2 linked regions of the Lonchura striata genome follow. The protein of the gene in region 2 purifies or fractionates together with the protein of the main gene of each other region. This does not show direct contact. Links are inferred from orthologs where the notes say so. Each region holds a gene or a part of one and is shown on either strand. Other genes may lie near its edges.

Region 1 (7,528 bases), on a different chromosome or scaffold from region 2:
CTATTAGCATGTTATTACAGGATGAGCAACAGGAAAATGCAATAATATATTTGAGGTTGGAGAGGATTAATAACAACAATATAAAGCCAATTTAGTAGATAATAAAATTAATTTATTGCTCTAATTAAGACAGACTTCTATTAAAATAAGTTACTTAGCTTAACCACCAAATAACATGGCTGACGAGTTTGGTTCCTAGAGATGACCTTGCAGCACTAAGCACCAAATACCCCGAACAGCATGGTCCTATCACATGCCATAAGAAGGCTATACCACCATCATTGCAGCTGGAGGAGGACAATGTGCCACCTACCACCTCCAGTACACAACAGTCTCCCTTCTTCCAAAGCATCATTTGCCTTGATATTTCCTTAAAGTAACTTTATTTGACATGAAGGATAATCGGAAAAAAAAGAACAGCTATTAGACTGGAATGCATAAAAAATGAATCAGAAGTAAAATCAGATGGTAGCCTTGCATCCAAGATATGGTAAGAATTTAAAAATTACTGTTCAAAATTTTAAGCTGCTGTAGCAAGTCAAGGGTTGGAACAGACAACTTTATTAAAGATAACATGCCATGTAAACTCTTACAAGTCTTTGATGCAGTTCATAATTTTATACGTGCAGAACAAATAGAGATCTGATGTCCTCATCCTAAGCAGTGAGGCTTTGCAGCGAACGACTTATTCTTTGTATATGTAAGCCACCAAAAAGTGACAAAGAAAGTTGCAAGCTCTGCGAATCTGGAAAATGTAAAACAGAAAGGGACAGAAACGGGGCGGGGGGGAAATCCAAGATACGAGTGTTGGGGAAGACCGCAACACCTGAATCCGTGCTGTAACCAAGCGAGGGACCCATAGGGCGAGAGAGGCGCTGCCTTTTTGTTTTGTTCTCGGGCTGCGCGCTCCTGGCGGAGCCGCCGCGCTGCCGCCGGCGCCTCTGGCGGCGCAGCCCGCGCACCGCGCCCGGGCCCGCCGCGGCAGCTCCCGAGCCTCTCCCGAGCGCTCGCACCCTCACTCGCTCCTTCGCCGCGCTACTTGGCCATTTCGGAATCCCCCATGCAGATAAAAATACAGCCCCAATATTAACAAGGGTAGAAGCTAGATTCAAGTTATATCCCAGTCCTACCCACAGGTATTGGCAGGCAACAAGCCTCTCCTTAGCCAACCTAACACCCAACAGAGATCAAAATCTGCTCTCAAAATTCCACATAGACAAAACACCAAAAATGCTCGCTACCTGTGGGTTTCACCAGTGTCCTCCAGCTTCCCGGGGAAGGGACAAAGTGGATGGCTCAGAAGCCCAGCCAAGAAACCCAACAAGACCACCCATACAAATCTGCGGGTGTAGAGAACCAGTCTGTGAACCAGTCACAAAGAGACCATGGAGCGTGCTTCTCCATTACAAACTGCTGGGTGATTTTAAACCTCCCATGCCTCTTCTTAGCTTCGAGATGATACGCGGGACACGTGATTCGAGCAATGGAGGAGGGGAGAAAAATTCAAGATGGCTGAAGGTGTCTTGTCACGGGTGTTCACGCACGCTACACAACTCTAGAGGGCACCCGAAATATGCCCTCCTCCTCCTCCCTCCCGAGCCGGGTAACGTGAGCAGCGGCAGCAGCCCGTCGTCTGCCTGCCGGAGTTGGTATTGCAGGAGCGATGTCTGCAGCAGCAGCAGCGCCCACTCCGAGGAGGAGCCGCCTCACAGCCATTACTGGGGCTTCGCCCCAGGGCAGCGGCTACTGAACGCAGGAATTTCCCCACCCAGCCCTAGAGGGACCTCATTCCACCCCTTGCCCCAGGAGAATACGGGGCGGGGGGAATGGTTCAAGCCCGCTGTTAGGAGGTCTGGCAAAGGCAGAAACAGATACACAAATAGCACTCACAATGGAGCTCCCTCTCCTTGTTGGTCGCTGCCAAGGCTGCACCAAACTGGGCTGGAGCCTAAGGGAAAGACATGGGGTTAACACGGGGCAGCGAGGATCAGGCAGCGCCCCCAAGGAGCGTTTCCATCGCCTGGCCAGGGCAGGTACTGCCTGCATCACTCACCACTTCCCTTTAATCCCAATCTTTCAAATAAATAAACAAACAAACAAATCTACTGCCCTCGCCGGGGGCGGTGGGGTACACCTCACGGCACACCCACGCAGCTTGTCCCCGCTGAAGGAAGGAGGGACAAGGAGCTGTCCCCGGGCGCCGCCACACCGGGGGGCTTCTACCGCGAGTGTGGGGGACAGAGGCAGCGGCGGCACCCACGGCGGGGAGCAGCGAGTGTTACCTGCGAACTTGCCCTGTAAGCCCCGAACCGGCGCCCGGAGCGGCCGCGGGGCCCTCAGCGGCACGGCCCCGGCGCCGGGCGAGCGCCCGCGCCCCCCGCGGCAGTTGCCCCCGGTCTCGGGTTTGCCCCCCTGCAGTCGGCCAGCGGCACTACCGCCTCCTGTCCGCCATTAGAGGGACCCAGCCGAACAATACGGGAGGGGAGCCGCGGAGCGCCGGGCAGGGGAGGGGAGAGGATGGGAGGGAGGTACCCGCGGGGGGGCTGCGAGGGCGGTGGGTGGGGGAGGCACAGGGGCAGAACAACAGCCGAGGGCCCGGCGGGGAAGGGACGGAGAGAGTTAAAATAGGAGGCGCTAGAGCAGACCCGGCCCTTCCCCCAGATACCCCTGCCCCCCCCCTTCGGGGCTGCCCCCGGGCGCCCCCCATTTTTCCCCACCGCCCCCCGCCGCGGCGCGATGGTTATGCGCGGGATTGCCCCCGGTGCCGCCCGCATCCCCGCCGCCAGAGGTGGCGGCGCGGCAGCGACACCGCGGGGTACTTGGCCGGGTAGCTGTGAGGCACGGCGGTTGCCCTCCCATCCCCGCCCTGGGGGCAGCTAAGCGCTGCCAGCCCCCCGCCAGCCCGCCCCGGTGAGGCGCAGCGCCCCGTGTCCGCGCCTTACCCGGCTCCCCACCGCCTGCGGGCACGAACCCCCCCGCGGGGGACGCACGCACTCTGCGCTACTCCTCCGGCGCCTCAACTCTAACTCGGTCCAGTCCCGGGCGAAGCGCAGCCGCTGGCGAAGAGGAGGAGGAACCGGGCCAAGGGAGCTCGGGGAGATCCGCCTCCCTGCCCCGGCATTGGCTTTCCCAGAGGGCGGGCTCTGGCGCTGGGCTAGCCGAGTGGGTGCGCCGCCCATCCATCAGAGCCGCCCGCAGCCGGTTGACCCTATAAACTGCCAATCTTCCTCTTGGCCATGCTTGGGGTTCTTCCCACTTTGATCCATCAGGTTTGAGGAACCCGGATCGCTGCCCACTGACCGGCTTGTTACCCGTGCCCAAGGGTTGCGCTGGCGCTCCCCGCGCCGCTGTTTGACAGCGGCAACTCGCAGAAGTTCTCGGTGCCGCCGAGCCGGCTGCGCGCCGCCGGCCGCGGGCAGGGTGCGCTAGCCGTCCCGGCCGTGCGCTCGCTCCCTGCGGGCGCCACCGCTACGGCCGTGGGGCGCGGGCTCTCCTCTCCCACTCCGGACCCCGCGCTGAGCCATAGGGGCTGGCAGTGCTTTTCCAAAGGGCCCCACTCCGCTCCTTCCTTCCCCTCACCAGGGTTTTGAACCTGGGGTCATTCCCATGGTGGATAGAGCATGGGTAATGGAAGCGTTCCCAGAGGGAAAAGGGAGAGTTCGCGTCTCCTAGGGAGGGCGCCTGACCCGCGTCCCCGCAGCCTGCCCCGCCGAGCAGCGCCTCCTCAGCCGAGGACGCCTTGCTGCCCCCGCCTGCCGCGGGGGAGGGCGCCATATCAGCCGCCGACATGGCTCCTGGAGGAGATGGTGGTGGTGGTGGTGTTGGTGGTGGCAGTGGTGGTGGCGTCCTCCATTTTGTCGGAAGCCGCTGCGGGGAGCTTGGTACCAATTCGAACCAACGTGAGGCGCAGCGGGGCGTCCATTTGAACAGCCTCCTTACGGCTTCCCCGCGGGAAAAGGAGCCGGGTGCCCCCGGCAATGCCGCGGGGTGGGAGCGACTGCTCCGGCCAGGCGCCGGGAGCCAACTCTCCGCCCGCCCTTCGCCAAAATGGAGGATGCGCGCTTCCCTTGCGCGGCTCCTTCCCCGTCGCTGGCCATGGCACCAGCGCCCGCTCCTTCGAGGACCGTCTGGCGCGCTGGTCCCGCTCTGCTCCATCTACCCATCCTCCTCTGCCCAGAAGAGGGAGAGAGAGACAGCGCAATGCCCGCCCTGCCTTCTCTAGCCGGGATCAATCCGTGTCAACTATGCGCAGCAGCGTCCCCCGGGGAGAGAGCGGCTCTTGCGTGCGCAAGGCGCTGGGTTTCAGCGGCTGGCGCCATTTCCAGTCGGGAGCTGGAGCCTCCCGCGGGATCAGCCTGAGGGACAGCCTCCCTCACGAGCGGCGCAGGAGTCGTTGAAGGGATGTCTCCTCTCTCCACCACCTTTGATGTGTTTGGCTAATAATTTTCATGTGTGGGAGAGACGAGAAAATTTTCTATCGTCCATTGTCACAACAATACATCTAATTTCTTCCCAATGATGCCACCCAGAGACACTAGCTCCAATCAACAACTCAAGCCAAAAGCTTCTCCAGCACTGTTACTCTATGTTGTTGAGTGGAATTAATGTGGATTTGGTTTTGCTGGTTTTGGCGCTTTTTTTGCAAGACATACTGCTCATTAGATGAAGCTTGGAAGGGCTATTTGGTGTGGAGGGACAGAGTTCCCTCAGGGCTGGCAGCAGCTTGCCTGCAAAAAATTACGTGAGCTGATGGCAAAGCACTCTAATACAACCATTGCCAACGAGGAAAGTGTCATGTCTGCATGCATCATCACCCATTTTGAAGGTATCAAAGTTGCCCTATAAATTGATAAAACATTTGATCTGCAGTATCACACTACCAGACTAATTATGTAACCAGAAAGCTGTTGAAATTTCAACATTGAATCCCATTCACTCCATCAAGTCAGCTAGTTCCTGACCATCCTCATCATTAGCCTGGAATATCATCTAGGTTGGTAAAATTCAAAGCTGTTTTAAGTTGTCCTCCATATTACAAATTTGCCGACATTCCTAGTCATACATCTCAGGAAGATGCCTTTTGTTCTACAACAGTGCTTATCCATAAGCATTTATGTTCTCATGGAGTTCAGAAAGAAATTCAAGAGGACTGAAGCACTAGCAATGCATGGTAGAAAACAAGTGTTTTTCTAATTAGGAACACATTAAGAGAAACCTATTGCTCTTAGTAATCTGGGGTATGAAAAGTAACTGGAGAATACTTTGCATCTTACCGCTGCTATAGCAAGAGACATTACCTAACAGTGTTATCTAGGTCTGTTACGTAGCAATAGAACATTTTCATTAATGTTTTAGGTAACACAGCTCAAACAAAATTGAATGGTTTCACTTGCACTCTTGGAACTATATGAAATGTTTTTATATAATAAAGTTTATAACTCCACAGAACTGTTGTCCCCCTATAGACATGTAACCTTAGTTTTAAATTCATATGTTGAAATATAGCCAAAAGTAATTAAATACACCATAATTTTTCCTTTATTTTTTCAACTGACATCAGGAAAAGGGACAAAAAGTTCAGGCAACCATGTAAATTCCTCTTCCTCTGTAGAACCATGTATCATTCAGATTACTTTTAAGAATAATTCATATAGAGTAATTATTTTTATGGTTTGAAAGAGTTAGCATTAGCTCATATGCTAAGCAGTAAAATCTCTTCATGAGCACCAGAGAACTGAAGCATATGTATTTATATGGACACTTCTTTCATGGACAGGCCTGATGTCAGTAACCTTACTAGAAAATGTCAAATGTATTGACTGGGAGTAGATAAATTCAACAAAGCTGAGCCAAGAGTTTCTTTATCACCTTATAACAAGAGTGACATCCTTCTGGCTGTAATGGAGGACTATTTTCTCAAAAAACAGTCAACTGTATTTGAACTGAGAAGGAATAATCGGACATATTTTGGAAAGTTTATGTTTGAGCAGACATCTTAAAAGCACTTACCAAGGCAACCTTCAAGTGATGCATATTGTATTGTAATAACAGGATGAACATAGTTTAAAGCCACCTCCTGCTGTCAACGTTATTTATCTATGATATAGTGGCATTTGTTCCAGGCTTAGAACAACTTTTCTTTTTTCCCCTACCATTTCTCCCAATATTTCTCTTACTTTTCTGTCCTTAATCTTACTTCTTTATCTACTTATCCTCAGTCCCTCTTGGCCATCACAAAAAAGAAAGATGCGAATAAAGTGTACAGGTTGATGGAACATACGTTCTCATAGTCATGGCATAATGGAATTGTGGTCTACTAGTGTTTGGTCAATACTAAGAAGAGAAACTTCAAGAAATAGTAGTGGATGGAAAAGAAATTAAAAACACAAAATCAAAACAAAAGAAAGCAGAATCTTAAAACATCTATGATCAGTAACAGCTTCATCATTTTGGTTTTACTTCCTCTACCAGTGTTCTGATTTTGAGTTTCATCAGGCATAGCAGCTATTCTTTGTAGACTAAAGCTCTTAATAAAAAGATACTTAGGGAAAAACTCTTCACTATGAGGATTTTGAGGCTCTGGAGCAAGTTGCCCAGAGAGGCTGTGGATGCCCCATCTCCAGCCATGTTCAAGGCCAGGTACAATGGAGCTTTGAGCAACCTGGTCTAGTGGAAGGTGCCCCTGCCCATGCTACAGGGGTTGGAACCAGATGGTCTTCATGTCCCCTCCCAACCCAAATCAATCTATGATTCCATTATACCACATATGTGTGATTTTACTTTACGTAACAGAACCCATAGAATTTTTTTAGATTACAAAAAAATGCTTTGTACAGAACATTACCTGTGGTTTTCATTATGGTTGTTGGACTACATATACATTTTGTAATATTTATAAATAAATCACTACCTGTCTATAAGCAGATTGTGTAATTTTCAGTTTAATTAACCAAAAGTGATCTTTCCAATGGTTAAATAAGTAGACAATATATCCTATCCTATAAGATTATTATTAATTGCATAATATAATATGTCTTCAAATTACCTTTATGCTGCATCCCATATTTAAGCTTTGGAACAGTAAATAACAATTTATGATCTGATCTGGGCAATTTCCCCATAGCAGACATTCCCATACTGAAAGAATAAGATTGTAACTGTTCTTCTGTAATAATTTTAAGGGGGTTTACAATAATCAACATAATCTTTACTTGCAAAGTAATTTTTATTAATTTTTAAACATTTGAGGGTTTTAGTTGGATTGATCTCTCGTCTTAATGGAGAAATGGTATTACAAAACAGAAGGCAGGCTCTTAAAACTGAAAGAGACTGCTTAGGTCACTGAGTCCACTATCTTGCTATTAGAGGAAACTGTGTCATATAATCCCTTGCAGAAACTTTTCAAGCCCCATCTTAATAGTAGCCTGATATGTTTACCCCCTACTTCTGTCACAAATCTGTTCCAGAATTTCATTGTTTTGGTGGTTAGAAACTTCCTTCTAATTTTCAGACTAAATTTATTCAAAAA
Region 2 (7,031 bases):
CTGCCTGGGAGCTGCCTTGCAGATGAACCCACAGAAGGGGCACAGGGGACTTTGGCTGTGGCCTCCTGCGAGGAGAGAGACTCTGCAGGGAGGTGTGGCTGAACGGTACCACCTCTGCCTGAACTGCTGGAAGGTGTCAGCCTGAAACAAATGAGTAATTGTTGTTGCTGTTGGTATCAGATGACGTAGTTTACCCGCCGGCAAATCAGCTGAGAAGAGATGAGGCACTGAGTGAAGCAGGGAAATTATTTAGAAAGGTAATAAACCTGTGTAATATAAATATATTAAGGTAATGGATTTTATGTACACAGGAATACAGAATGGCTGTCAGTGGTGTAGGTAGCACGGGGAGCCCACCACGACAGTTCACATGTGTCTTTTTTCGTTCAAAGGAAACTTTAGAAACCTAAAGGTCAACTTGCACAAAGCTCTGCTGCTTTACTTCCCCCTCCATCACAGCCGCTCCGGTGCCTGCCCTTATGGGGCGGGGTGGGCTCACGCCAGTCACGCCCTCGCCAAACCAAGTAGGAGTGGGGGGAGAGATTGCAAACGCAAAAGAGAATTTGAGGGCGGAGAGACAGACTCATCTTGTCACAAGAGAGCAGGAGAGGCTCTGGGTGTCCCCGCGGTGCCGCCTGCCAGGCTCGCCCCTGTCCCCTGCAGCCGCGGGGCAGGTGGAAATGACCTGGAGGTACGAAGTGCCCCAGGGGAGCCGCGCCGCTGCCGCCGCCGGGAACGCGGCGTCAGCCACGGCCCGGGTGCGCCCAGGCATTTCCGCGCTGCCTCTCCCGGAGCAGCCCCGGCGCAGGGGAAACTGAGGCACGCTCAGGTGGGGCTGCGCCTCCTCCGTGTCAGCGTCCGCGTCTGGAAACTCCTGGAAAGACAAGAGGGGAACAAACAGAAGTGACAAGCAATGTCTGTGACTTAATGGTGGAGGCTTGTGCGTCTCGCACTTGCGGCCACAGCTGAGCCCTCCGTGGGCACATTTTCCCCACATGTGGCACCACTGACAGCTGCTCTGCCAGCACCTGTGCTTCCAGCTCGTCTGTGCTGCTGGCAAAGCCCGGCTCAGGTGCTGCTGAGAGGGAGTTTATTGATAATTTTTTTCCCTTTTAATAACTACTATGTTCTTTGTCAGAAAATTTCATGTTCCTTGAAGTTAGGGGAATGTGGTGACATCTGAAAGGAAAATTTTATTCTAGAGCTTGTCTTGACATTTTTCTTCTCTCTTTTTAAATTTCCCTTTTAATAAGGGGGAAGGGAAGCAGGGAGAGCACACAGAATGCAGAGGAAGTGAGATTTCCCACCACAACAACAAAACTCTTCAAAACATTTTTTTTTTTTAAGCAAAACAATAGTCAAAAATATCAGAAAGCAAACCATGGCAGTTTACTAAACATCCTTAGCTTACTTTTTTTTTAAACTGCTCTGAGTTTTAACTCCAATGAGTCCTCACACAAATAGATAAGAGGAATGGCTCTGGGGTGAGCAGGGAGGTAGGAATGTAAATACACGTTTTGACTGCAGTGAGTAAAATCCTCCTGAATATGGCATCACTGGGGGGATGATGGGCGCCCTGGCACTGCAGGCATTGTATACATTGAATTATAGAGTCACAGACTGGTTTGGGAACTTAAAGATCATCTCTCATTGCATCCCCTGCCATGGGCAGGGACACCTTACACTATATCCTAGGATGTTTCAATCTCTGTCCAGCCTGGCCTTGCACAATTCCAGGAATCCAGGGGCAGCCACAGCTCCTCTGGGGGACCTGTGCCAGGGCCTCATCTCCTCTGGGGAACCTGTGCCAGGGCCTCACCTTCCCCTAAGAAGGATTTTTCTTCCTAACATCCAATCTAACCCTGCTCTCTGTCAGTTTAAAACCACTGTCCCTTGTCTTGTCACTACCTAGCCATATAAAAAGTCCCTCTCTTTCCATTTTTTAAAGCCTCCTTAAGATACTAGAAGGCTGTAATGGAGTCTCCCTGAAACCTTTTCTTCTCCATGCTTCAATTATATCAATCCAGTTACATTTTACAGACTGCTCTACCCAGTGTAGCTGTGATCCAGGGGATGGAGCTGTCCTGTGGCATTGCTGCTGGCCATGGCATGACGAGGGACTCTGTGTATCTTAGCACAAATCCTTGCAGAACTGAAGCTGTGCCTGGGTGCTTTTGTTCAGCTCCTGATGCAGGAATCCTTTTTACTCACGTTGTGACCTTGGGCGAGCAACTTTGCTGTGCTTAAAATTATCTTCTCTGCAAACAAAGTGCATAAATCTCCATGTCAGGTGAAGCTGCAGCATGGCACAAGGGGCTTGGGTTTGGTGAAGGGTTTTTCCACCCTGAGTTGTCACATGTGTGGTGTCCCTCTTGGGCAAGGGTGCCAGTGCTGCCCCAGAGATGGTGTAGCCCTAATTGTGCCTCAAAGCATGATCCTTTGGCTACTTTCCATGGGGAAAAAGGGTTCAGTAAAATCTGCTGTAGCTCAGGGTGTTTTCAACCCCCCTCTCTTCTCCTAATTTGCTTGGTTTTGCTGGCAGAGCTAAATAGGGGCTGCAGAGACTGATGAAAGAGGCTGCAGGCTCGTCTTACAAAATAAAAAGGCTGGAGCAAATTGGCGTGCCTAGCCTGGGAAAACAGAAGCTAAGGGCAGCACAAGGAGAGCGGTGTGCGGACGGATCCCAGGGTACGCCCTGCGGGAGGAGATGAGCTGCAGAAAGCCTTGGCACAAGACTGTTGTGTGTCTGTAGCCTGTGACTACACGCAGCCTGGAAACCAGAGGAGGAGGGAGGCCCTGGAAAGGCTTCCCAGCAGGAGCCCTGTGTGCCTGGAGCACACGAACTCCTTTGGTACCTTGTGAGGGTTTTCAGGTTGCCAGAGCCACCACAAGGCAGCACGGAGAGTCCCACAGCCCCACATCCCCAGGCTGGTGTCACTGTGGGGCCGTGGGAGGATGTCTGTCTGTCCAGCCAGGTCTGGGCTGGGTGTGCTCTGCAGATAAACAGCTCCTTTTACACTTATTCATTCTGCCTGTGTACACAGCCTGCTCGCCAGCGGCCGGGAGGTGCCTTTTCCTGGCGCTGCCTTTGGTGTGGGTTTTACAGATGGTTTTTATTCAATCAGGCAGAGATGAGGGGAGAACATGGCAAATGTATGAAGTGCGCTGGTCATCCCTGGCTTCCTGGAACACTCTGACCTTCACCCACTGATCCACAGAGAGTACGGGGTCATCAATGACTCTTCAGCCCCAGTCCCAGTTTGTTGTCAGGTCCCTTGTATTTGCCTCTTACAGGACACTTAAAGCAACTGGGGTCATACAAACAGGAGCAGGGAGAGGTGACAGCTGGGGCTGGAGAATTACAGGGAGGAAATGAGATTAGAGGGAGCAGGGATCACCAGGAGGCAAGACGGCCCTGTGTTGGGCAGTCAGCTCCTTCCCCCAGAGCCCGACCCCACAACCACTCCTTTCCCCCAGAGCCCGACCCCACAACCACTCCTTTCCCCCAGAGCCCGACCCCACAACCACTCCTTTCCCTCACATCCGACCCCACAACCCCTTCTTTCCCTCAGAGCCTGCCCCAACCACTTCTCTCCCTCAGAGCCCAGCCCCACAGTGGCTCCTTTCCCTCCCAGCCTGACCCCACAACCTGCTCCTTCCCTCAGAGCAGTCAGGGACCCACCATTCTCTTTCCCTCACAGCTCAGCCCCACAATCTGCTCCTTCCCTCCCAGCCTGACCTCACAGGCAATCCCTTCCCTCCCAGCACAGCCCAGCCCCTGAAGCTGCCCTTTCCTCCACGGCTCCTTCCCTTCTAATAGTCAGGGCTGCATCAGCTACCCCTTACTCCATAGCCCGACCCTGCAGCAATGAGGGGTCCATCAGCTACCCTTCCCTCACAGCCTGGCCGCACAATTGCCCCGTTCCCCGGGCACTCGGCACCCCCGCACTCGCGGCGCCGGGCCCGCCCCGCTCCCTCAGCGCGGCCGGGGCGGGGCGGGCCGGGGCGGTCCCGCCCGCCGGGGCCGGCACAGCGCGGGCCGCAGGTGCGAGCGGAGCGGAGCGGAGCGGAGCGGCCGGGCCGGCGCGGCCATGGGCAAGGTGCAGCTCTTCGAGATCCGCCTGGGCGACAGCCGCGTCGTCTACAGCCCCGGCGAGCCGCTGGCCGGCACCGTCACCGTGCGGCTCTCGGGCTCGCTGCAGTACCGAGGTGAGCCCGCGGCCTGCCGTGCCCCGCGGGGCGGATATCCCGGGGAGGGGCTCGCGGGCTGCCCCGGCCCGCGGCCGGGCTTCCTCCCCCGGCTCTGCGGACCGGCGGCTCCGGGGCTGCCCCATCGCTGCCGCCCCCGCTGCCATGCGGCGGCCGGGAGGGGCTGATGGGAGCAACCTGCTGGATTATTTCCTCCTTCCTCCGCTTCCTCCTCTTACTTTTTGCTCCTATCCCATAAAATAAGGAAACATCCTCCCAACCCCCTTCCCACAACGCCCCAGCGCGGGGCTGTGCCACGGCAGCCTCCGGAGCTGGCGGGTGCCCAGGGTGGCAGCGGGAGGTGGCGGAGGGGCTCGCCCGTCTCGTTCGGCTTTCCCGGAGTCCTGCGGCTTCCCAGGGCTGCCGGCATCGCCCCGGCACAGCCCCGAGCCTGGTGCCCTGGGTCGGACGGACGCGAATGTGTTGGGCAGGGAACTGGGCGGAGGTGGGCGATGCCGTGTCCCGGCAGGAGCGGCACCCACCCACCGGCTCGCAGGCACCGTCCGCAGCCAGCAGCCGTGTTGTAACGTCTCGAATGAACTGGGGCATTGGAGTTGTGGCTCTGCGAGTGTGGGAGATGTCCGCGGTGTGTACGAGGTCCTGTGAGTGCCAGCAGTGGTCTGGAGCAGGAGTTGTTGTTGCTCCACGCAAGGCTCAGGCCATGCTCGTGGCTGGTGCAGTCCGTCGGAGCAGAGGGATGGGGCTGGACTGCAGGGAAATGAGCTGGCTGGGCTCGGATCATCCAAACTGGGAGCTTCCTCCCCCGCCTGAGAGAAGTCATTCGCATTTGCAAGTCAGCTTTGTGCTCAGTGCTGTGGAAATGTGAACCAATTTGCTGTTTTCCCTGAGGTCTTGCTTGCTTCTCGTGTGTGCATGCTGCTTCCTTTGTAACAAATTATTGGAGGGGGGAAAAAAGACCAAGTAATGTAAAATGTGAAGTCTCTGTTCAAGAGCTGTCAGCCTGGATGATGGTGCCTCTGCCTGCCGGTGCCTTGCTTTTGAGAGCACCTCTCCCAGTTGTCTGCAATAGCTTTTGGAAGCTTCTTGTGGAAAAAAAAAGTATCTAGGACAAGTGTAAACTTGTAGCCTGTTAAACTCCTGTCAGAGCAAAACAGTCGCAGATCCAGCGTTTATCTCCTTGGAGAATACTCCTGGATGCACTTCCAGCAAAGATGTTCCTAATGAAGTCTGGCTGACTTCCCTCGGCCCATCCCATTGACTTCCATCCATTCCTGAAGGTGCTTCTTGGGAGGGATGAGAGTTTGGCCTTAGAGGGTTTGGTGTGCTGGCCCTTTGTGCTGCCAGCTGGCCAAAACTACTTGCTGCTGCCTCTACAACTCCCATTTGAGGAGGACCTGCCAGGTTCTATTCTACACCAGCTCTCCTCTGCTTCCTGGTGTTGTTGTAGGGAAGGAGAAAGGCTTCTCTTTGTTCTAGACCTCCTTTCTGCATCCTTATTGCCTTGATTCGGAGAAGTATCAGGGTCTGGTGTTAAGTACAGGTCCTGAACTCAGGAGGGGTTTTGCTGTGGGATCTGGTGTTTGGGGCTAGTGCAGGGATTCTGGTAAGAGCTGGGTAAGAGCTCTAGGAAAGCTGTCAGATGCATTGAGCCGAAATCTGATGTGGGCTCCATGTGATTGATGCTTCTGTTGTGCTGAGATCACTGAGCAGCTCTTCTAGACTGTTTCATGTACAGTGGCTTCATGAGCTGGGCTAGAAACTTTCCATTACTGGTGTCAGAACTCACCCAGTTAAGTCACATTTGGGTGTGAAACCAACTTCTGCCAAGCACAGGGTGACACTTTGCTGTGTGTTCTCCCTCCTGCTGGTGCTTAAACCTTCCATACTTCATTTCTTGGGCACCCTCTCCTTCTTCCTGGATGAAGGAAGTGTCCCACCCTCAGAGGAAGAGGTTCCTGTAGCTGCTTGAAACATCCTTTTGCTGTAACAGCAAAAGAGATCTTAAAGAGACTTGTGAGCCCTGTTGAGCACTGTGGGCTCGGCACTAGAGGGATCAGACAACCTGACATCCTCTGGCTTCCTACTGGGCTGTGAGGAGAGCTGTGTGGAATCAACTCATTTTACATTGTATATGCCCCCCCACACCTTCTGTGGCCAACTGTGACTTTCCAGGCTAATAAACTGCTTCCAGGAGAAGACACAAAGTCTCACCCCTGGCAGGTCTGGCCCTCAGCACCACGATTTGGTGCTTTCCATTTCCTGAGCCAGGCGAGTCTGGCGCGGTGACTTCTCGGTGCTGTGGTGTGTGAGATCACAGCCGGAACCAGCCTGGAGGTGACTCCTCACACGGTAACTTCTGGCTCTTGCAAATTACACCTTCTGAAAGGTGACAGTGCAAACAAACACAGCTCGTTGTGCCTTGCTAAACACGGGGGAAATCTTGGGTCATGGGGCAGCGTAGCTGGGGACACACCTTTTTGGGATCATTGATGTTCCCACTTAGACTGGCGTCAGTGCCAGCCCTGCTGACTGGCACTGAGGGCTGTTCTGGAGCACATCTTCTTCAGCTGACCTTGCAGCAGCATCACAAATACTGACTGGTCCTTGGTGACTCATGTGGACCTTCTGAGGAGCCACATTTCTTCCTGTGCCTGTGCCAGGGTGAGGGACCTGCCCAGAAAACTTCTGAGCCTCAGGGGAGAGCGCTGATGGAAATGGAGAATTCCTGATCATTGTGCCTGGTTTGCTGGGTAAATCATCAAACGTGTGTGCACAAAGAATAATTAATCTTACAGGAAGCTTGCGCAGGGACAGCTGGAGAT

The links.
Region 1: the proteins of ARRDC1 (region 2) and ZMYM2 purify together in Homo sapiens (affinity purification with mass spectrometry; 3 studies listed by BioGRID and IntAct, counting the BioPlex papers as one, with this or other methods). This does not show direct contact. The link is inferred for Lonchura striata from reciprocal best matches to the Homo sapiens genes ARRDC1 and ZMYM2.

Annotation. Positions count from the first base shown.
Region 1 is NC_134604.1:72,085,045-72,092,572, forward strand, and holds the start of ZMYM2 (zinc finger MYM-type protein 2), read right to left. Parts: upstream 3,083-7,528; 5' UTR 2,943-3,082; intron 1,949-2,942; 5' UTR 1,891-1,948; intron 1-1,890. UniProt on the Homo sapiens protein: Involved in the negative regulation of transcription.
Region 2 is NC_134624.1:4,150,795-4,157,825, reverse strand, and holds the start of ARRDC1 (arrestin domain-containing protein 1), read left to right. Parts: upstream 1-4,016; 5' UTR 4,017-4,091; coding exon 4,092-4,209; intron 4,210-7,031. UniProt on the Homo sapiens protein: Functions as an adapter recruiting ubiquitin-protein ligases to their specific substrates. Through an ubiquitination-dependent mechanism plays for instance a role in the incorporation of SLC11A2 into extracellular vesicles.